2 linked regions of the Mus musculus genome follow. The protein of the gene in region 1 purifies or fractionates together with the protein of each later gene. This does not show direct contact. Links are inferred from orthologs where the notes say so. Each region holds a gene or a part of one and is shown on either strand. Other genes may lie near its edges.

Region 1 (3,607 bases):
TCTTGGCTGTGTTCTGTCACCCTAGCAGGGGGGCCTCTCAATCACTGAATGTGTTGGGGGATGAGGAACCAGGGAAGGGAGAGGCTCAAGGGAGGCAGGGTCAGGCGAGGAGCTGAAGCCTCCTTCACCCCTCCAGGGTGAGGTCCCCTTGCTGCCTTAGCTCATACGGACCCCTCATCCCCACCCCACCACACAGAGAGCTGCTGTTACCCTTCATCTGACAGCTGAAGAACTGCAGCATAGAGGGCTTAAAATAGCTCGCCAAGGGCAGGCCAGGGACAGCCTGGTGCACACAGGTGTCACAAAACCAAACTGTCCCACCAGGGCACACCAGAGTCAGCCATCATTCTGCCCACTGCAGAGAGAAAGGAGCTCAGAGGTCCTGGCTTTTCTCCATTAGTCTGTCTCTCCCTCTCTTCCTGCTGACCTTTTTCACGACTAGGGCTCATGGGAAGAGGAGGCGAAAACGTGGAAGGATTTTCAAATAGATCCTAACTCAAGACAGAGACGGGGACCTAAAAATAGGCACTTTCAAAACGAGCAGAAAACCCGAAGCTGTGCTTGGCTGGGCCATCTTCACTCGTTCCCAGCTGTGATCTTGTGTTGTCATAGAAACTTGACTTGTCTGCTAGAAAAGTGGTCCCAGTATTTATGGCAGGTTCAGCACTCAGCTTTTGGAGGTCTCCACCAAGAGGGGGTACATAGGAACTCTGCTACCCAAACTGGGGTGGGAGCCACCGTGAGAAGCAGGGTTAAGACCTGACTAATGAGGATGGATAGAGGCTCAGCATTGGCATCTGACCTCAGCGGGGTGAATGGTGGCCACTTTGTGGAAACATGGGGAGACCCATGGTCTCACAAGTATGAGGACCTAAATTTAGTTCCCCAGAACCCACATGAAAATACGAGTGCCTGTGATCCCACTTTTGGGGAGGGTGGGGACAGGAAGATCTCCAAGGCTTGCTAGCCTAACTGGTGAGATCCAGGACAATGAGAGGCCCTGCCTCAAAGAGGGTGGGCAGTGTTTCTGAGGATGATACTAAGCTTGTCCCTTGTCCCTTGTGTGTGCATGTTCACACACATGTTTGCACACCTGCATATACACCTGCAAACCCTCGTCCACACACACAAATCTCTGGGCACACATCTGCATACCCTTTGTATACAATGCATACACTTTAGCACATATCCACATACACCCTGTATATACACACCTATGTACAAAAATACCCAGGTACACATGCATACACACCTGCACACATTTATATCCCTGTATACATACAAACTTGCACAAACACACACACACCTATACAAAACTGTGCACACACCTCTCTGTGCACATGCACACACACACACACACACACACACACACACATACACACTTCCCAATCTCCCACCTTCTGCTTGCATACATATACCCCCTGCATGTACCCATACCCTCCCTGTACCATACTGTCTTAGTCAGGGTTTCTATTCCTGCACAAACATCAGGACCAAGAAGCAAGTTGGGGAGGAAAGAGTTTATTTGGCTTACACTTCCATACTGTTGTTCATCACCAAGGAAATCAGGACTGGAACTCAAGCAGGTCAGAAAGCAGGAGCTGATGCAGAGGCCATGGAGGGATGTTCTTTACTGCCTTGCTTCCCCTGGCTTGCTCAGCCTGCTCTCTTATAGAACCAAGATTACCAGCCCAGAGATGGTCCCACCTACAAGAGGCCTTTCCCCCTTGATCACTAATTGAGAAATGCCTTACAGCTGGATCTCATGGAGGCATTTCCTCAACTGAAGCTCCTTTCTCTGTGATAACTCCAGCTGTGTCAAGTTGACACAAAACTAGCCAGTACACATACCTACACACACACACACACACACACACACACACACACACACTTTGATACCCACTACTTGCACACACATACCCCTGCATATACCCACACTCTCTCTGTGTACATGCCTACACACACACCTGTGGAACATACACACTTGCACACACATACCTGCACATACCTCTACACACACATACACACACACACACACACACACACACACACACTTTCCAATCTCCCACCTTCTGCTTGCATACATATACCCCCTGCATGTACCCACACCCTCCCTGTACCATACCTACACACACATACACATACACACACACACACATCCCTGTACACACATGTACACGGTATCAGTAGTTTCCTTTGCTGATGCTGATGGTACACATATTGCAACACGTGTTCAGCCCCTTCTCACGCCTGCCTCCCTCTTCCATGGGCACTCCTTCGGCTCAGTCTGCCTTTGGGTTTCCCTGCAGAGTAAGAACGCACCTCACAGCCAGGGTGAGTACGATGTATACAGCACCTTCCAGAGCCACGAGCCGGAGTTTGACTACCTGAAGAGCCTGGAGATAGAGGAGAAAATCAACAAGATCAAATGGCTCCCGCAGCAGAACGCCGCGCACTCGCTGCTGTCCACCAATGGTGAGGCCCCGCGGGTGTGGCTGTCCTGACTCACTCAGCCTTCCAGGTTTCTCTGTGGTTTTAGTGACAACCAGGCCACCCTTCAGCTTTCCCTGACTGGTCACAAATCTCCCACCCTTGTAGATATAATGGGCATGGAGGGCTCCAAGGTGGAGACGAGATTGAATACTTCAAACACCAAGGACACCAGCTTTACTGCTCATTTCTACCCTGTCCTCACAGAAGGCTGCACCCCTATTGAGGGCCCCATTTGAAAGCAGTTTTCCCTCTAGCTTCTTCCCATGTTCACAGCGTTGTTGGTTTTGACTGCGGATGTTATCGGGGATCCTCTGGGGAAGCCAGGTGTGTGGGGGAGAGACCAAGAGAGGAGAGAGGGGGAGGTGGAGATGGAGAGGACCTGTGATTCTGACCCCTGCGATTGTGAGGCCAGAAGCTCACAGCTCAAGCCTGGAGGGCGTGTGCTGGCAGAATCCCCTCCTCCCAAGGAGGTAGGCTTTCATTCTGTCAGCGCCTTCAGCCAATGATATGAGGTCTACCATCTCCTGATGGCAGGTTATCTGCTTATGGATTTAAATTTTAATTAATTCTAAAGGATCCTTCATAAAAGAGCCAGTGTGTTCTGAACAATGTCTGTGTCACAGCCAAGGTGAGCCATAAAATTATCGCCACTGATTCTTCCTCCTGTGACGTCCAAGGAAGGAGTACGGGGGAGAGGCTCCGGGAGCTGGCTTCTGGGTGGCAAGTACCACTGAATTAGGAATGGCAGAGTGGCCACCTTCTTCTCAGGAAGGGACAGTGGTACATGCTCAGTGTAGAGGTCAGTAGTGACCCTTGCAAGGGGCATGCTTTTTGACCTAGTAACATCCCCTGCCAGTGAGTAGAAGATGCAGCAGAAACAGATTGCCCATATTCAGAGGTATTCTACACAAGGCACAGTGAGGGGGGAGAGGGACATGGATGGTCATTTCCAGGGTGGTGGCCCCAGGACACACATCACTGTCCCTCTAGCTAGAGTGGGTATTCTCTTCCTGGCCTGGCTGTTGACAGAATACCTTGTTCTTCCCTGATCTGTCCTTAAAGATAAAACTATCAAATTATGGAAGATTACCGAACGAGACAAGAGGCCCGAGGG
Region 2 (4,407 bases), on another chromosome or scaffold:
ATGCTGGTCAGGAAACTCCCCTCTATCAGTGTCAGGCATATACTGAAGAGTAAATACCTTCCTTTTCCCAGAGTATCCAGGGTCTCGTGACAAGAAAGGGCTTCTCTATACTCTCAGCATTTTGGGGGGCACTCCTTAGTTCCATCTAGAAGGAAAATGCTTTCCCAAAGGTCCCACAGTCTCATGGTCCTTCTGGAACAAACCTTAGGACAGTCAAGAGCGGTGGTTCTCAGCCTGTGTGTTGTGACACTTTTAGAGTCAAATGGCCCTTTAACAGGCATGGAGACACTGGTATTTATGTTACAACTCATAACAACAGAAAATTAGTCATGAAGCAACAATGCAATGATTTTATGGTTGGGGGTCACCACAACACAAGGAACTATATAAAAGGGTTTCAGTATTAGGAAGGTTGAGAACCACTGATCTAAAGCCAGGCATGGCTGTGCACAGCTATGATCCCAGTGCGTGCTTGGGAGGTGGAGGCAGGAGGACTGCTGTGATATCAAGGCCAGCCACAGGGAAAATAAGGCTGGCAGCAGTACAGTAAGCCAAGCTATGGTTACAAGGTAGGTCCCCTTCTGCCATTCTTTGGCAATAGTACTGCCTAGAACCATTCCTTACTTTCCACCTCACTCTTCTTGTTCCTTCACAAGGGCTTAGTACCCTTAGAACCATAAAAGGCTTTAGTGTTTCGTCTTAATCTTCCTCTCCATTTTCCTTAGATCGTTTAAGGGACTGACTGGAAGAATCTCTTACAACACTGGCTGCTCTTCCAGAACTGGGGTTCCCTCCACTCCTAGCATCCACAAGGTGGGTCACCACATCTGTAACTCTAGTTCCAGAGATCTGACACCTCCATGGGCATTACATGTACATAGTAACCAGGCACACAGTAGTCATAACACCCACATACACTAAATAAAACAAAAGTCAATACTATCTATTAAACAATTAGTTGGAGGAGGCCCTGGAAGTGGCTCAGGGGTAAAGCTGCTAGATGCATAAGCCTAAGCACCAGAACTCATTACAAGTCTGTCATTGTGGTATATATCTGTAATCCCAGAACTGCTACAGCAAGATGGGAGGAAACAAGAGTCACCAGCAGCTCATAAGCTGTAAGTATGCAGCACAGCAGCAGAAACAAGAATCATCAATTTAGGTAAAACCCAAATGTGATGGTCTGGGACCCTTTGATAAAAGGTTTGCTACTTGTTTTGGCCAATGCTGGGCCACTGGTCATATCAGCAGCAATGATGCATATTTTACTGCAGCACATATGACTCATGGATTTATGCCTCAGCTCTGGTCTTCGCCGACCAAATCAATTTCAAGCGCTAGGGGTCAGGGAGCATGGACATGCTTCTGTAGGGACTCCTTCGGAGGAGAAGCTGTAATTTGGTAGCAGAGGGAGGACCTTACAGGTTTCCAAGTCTGTCTGGCATCTACGCATAGGAAGAAGCTGCAAAAGGCAGACAAAGGATTGACACTAAAAAGCAAAACTTAACGAGTGTGCTGATGCCAAACGCACAGGATTCTGTCTTGGAAGTTGACATTGCTCACTAACAACTCAGGTTTATCACAGGGGAACAGGGGAGGTATCTGACGCTGTCGGGGATAAAGGGTGATGCAGGAGGATTACAGGCAGACCTTTAAGAGACTCTCCTGCCTAAAGTACTCAGGTCGTCCCATCTTTGGTACTGTGTACATCAATTGCCCTTTTCCAGCACCAAGTACATTCGGGAGAACTAAAAATGCCCCCAACGAACAGGTTCCAACAGGAACGAAGGATTCTGTCTTTCCACATGCGGGAACGTAAACGACCACAATGCCAGGCAGGGCGTCACTTGGCCCAACCTAAAGACCCTCACGCTGCCTCTGTGCGCCTAGAAGCTCGCGCCTTCACTTCCGCACCTCCCAGGGCGATGTAACCCGGCCTTATGGTAGAGGTACAGAGCTCAACACACACTCGGTTCCGAAAACCCAAGCCTCCATTACGGGGAACAGGCTGAACAAGAGGTCTGTGGTCCCAAGCACCATGAGATCCATGGTTTCCAGGCCCAGCGGCATCGCGAGCCCCATTCGGCTCTCGCCAACAGCTTCAGTTTTGGATCAAGGCCGCCTCCGGCCGGGGAGCGGAAACGAGCCACTGTAGACACTCCGCATGGCGGGCCAGGGCCGCAGGGTCGTGGATGGCAGCGGATGCGCGGAGAGACACTCACCATCATCTTGGAAGCGGCTTCAGGTACCCGCAACTCGTCAGTTGTCCGCCTCGGGGCCGCCCACCCAAGCCCACAATGCTCCGCGCCGGAGAAATGCCCAGAAGCTTCTGGCGAGACGTTAGCCCGGGAGAGGAAGGGGCCGGACCACTTCCGCCACTCTATGGTTAGCTCCCGAGGTAGCCGGCTAGAGGAGTCGGAGGTCCAGGGACGCTCTAGGAACTCGCGTTAGCTTTGGCGGGGGTCATCGAGTCTCGCAGTGCTTTTGGTTTGTAAGGTGCGGTAAGGTCCCGCCTCAGCCCGCGCTCCCAGACGCCATGGTAGACGTGCAATGAGCTATCAGTACTGAACACCGGCTAGGAGAAGCACCTTAGGTGAGTGATCTCACTGCACCTGCTCAGCTCCGTGGCGAGGGAGCTCCGTGAGTTTCACAGGTAGCTTGGGAAGTTGGGAACAGTGTCCCGGGTCACAGGTGCGCGGCCCGCTCGGGCGCAGGAAATTTGCTCGGGTCGGCTTCTAGCTCTGTAGCGCCCCTTATCGGCCGAGGCGGCGCCGTGCCGCCTGCCCCTTCGCGCGAGGCCCGTCTCTGCCTGGGGAGGAGAGCCGTGGATCCCGCGCAACCCCGCGAGCCGCCCACCGCAGGTTCCGGGAGGCGCGTCTATAAGGAGGAGTGCGGGGGCGGGGCCGCGAACTGCAGTTGCTATTAAGAGTTTTGGCCAATCAGCGCCCGGTTCCACTTCTCCTGGCCAATAGGAAGTGGCCTAGGGCGCAGAGGAGGAAAGTGCGGCCACACGAACAGGCGTGGCGGCCAATCAGCCGCTGGCCTCCGTTCTGTGCTCCAACCGGCGCGGAGAGCGGGCCTGAGGGAGGCCGTGGCAGCTGTCAGGCTAAAGTCGGGCGAGGGATCGCGGCGGGACGGCGGCGGCGGCGGCGGCGGGACGGGCCCTGGAGATGAGCCGTGGCGCCGCGGGCTGGTGCTGTCTCGTGCTCTGGCTGCCCACGTGCGTCGCGGCCCACGGTGAGCGGCGACGGACAGGCGGGCGGGGCGGGAATCCAGCGTGCGCGCTTCCCGGGCTGGGGGCCACGGGTCACCTTGGGGACCCCGCGAGTTTGGGCCGCCCAGATCCAGGGACTAGACGGCTGCAGCGGGTGGATGCTGGTTCCCGGGTCAGTGAGTAGGCACAACCTGACAACCCCACCCCTCCCCGTCGAAACAAGAGCTTTCAGCTTTCCTCCCACTGAAGGCGACCCTGGTGACAGCTAGAGATCCAGAACGGAGGATGTGAGCGTTCTTATAGGCAGGAACACACATATGGGCTCACACGCACAGGCACCCACTTACACAACTCGAACATAAATGTACACACCTACGCGTTAAGTGAACACATGCATATACCCGAAGCTTATTAGATAAGCACATCAAATGCCAGACAGGGGTGTGCTTGTGGAAAGGGTTGCCTGGTGTTAATCCAGAAGGCTTCCTGGGGGGGGGGGGGGGTTATCCATCTGATGAAGTGTACCTACACTCAGGACAAAAAGCTGCAAGCCCCCTTAGCTCTGTCTGAGCTGTAATTTGGACCATAGACAGGATCAATTATAGACACAGCAATTGGATTGACTAACAGACCTGAGCTTCCATCCATCAACATTTACTTGCCTTTCTGGCAAGTTTAAAGAATCCAGGGACTCAAATCCAACTGAGAAAAAATATCCTAGCAAAGCTCTCGTGGTTTTTTTGGCCATTCTCTTGTTCAGGACAGCAGAGCTGGGCAGAGTTCTTTGTTTAGTAACCTTTACTGAGCAGCCACTGTGTCCTAGGCACTGGAGATTCATCTCTGTATAAAGCCACATACTTAAGGCTGGAGAGGTGGTTCAGTGGTTAAGAGCACTGACTGCTCTTCCAGAGGTCCTGAGTTCAAGTCCCAGCAACCACATGGTGGCTCACAACCATTTGTAATGGGGATCTGATGCCCTCTTCTGGTGTGTCTGAAGAGAGAGAGACCGTGTATTCACATAAAATAAATAAGTCTTTTTTAAAAAGCCACATACTTAGAATCACTGCTGCGATGAAAGAAGCTGACATAGAATATTATGAATCCACCATAATTACAGAGGAAGTATTAGCTGGGAGAAAGTATATTTTGAATGGGTGGAGGAAGGATAAGGCAGCATCTTTCTGAGAAATGAC

The links. Proteins that work in one complex are often made in the same cells at the same time.
Region 2: the proteins of Ppp2r2c (region 1) and Cct7 purify together in Homo sapiens (affinity purification with mass spectrometry; 4 studies listed by BioGRID and IntAct, counting the BioPlex papers as one, with this or other methods). This does not show direct contact. The link is inferred for Mus musculus from reciprocal best matches to the Homo sapiens genes PPP2R2C and CCT7.

The regions. Positions count from the first base shown.
Region 1 is NC_000071.6:36,923,976-36,927,582, forward strand, and holds part of Ppp2r2c (serine/threonine-protein phosphatase 2A 55 kDa regulatory subunit B gamma isoform), read left to right. Parts: intron 1-2,309; coding exon 2,310-2,475; intron 2,476-3,555; coding exon 3,556-3,607. UniProt on the Homo sapiens protein: The B regulatory subunit might modulate substrate selectivity and catalytic activity, and might also direct the localization of the catalytic enzyme to a particular subcellular compartment.
Region 2 is NC_000072.6:85,449,943-85,454,349, reverse strand, and holds the start of Cct7 (T-complex protein 1 subunit eta), read right to left. Parts: upstream 2,846-4,407; 5' UTR 2,229-2,845; coding exon 2,223-2,228; intron 1-2,222. Other genes in the region: Pradc1 (protease-associated domain-containing protein 1 isoform b precursor), read left to right, coding at 3,171-3,237. UniProt on the Homo sapiens protein: Component of the chaperonin-containing T-complex (TRiC), a molecular chaperone complex that assists the folding of actin, tubulin and other proteins upon ATP hydrolysis.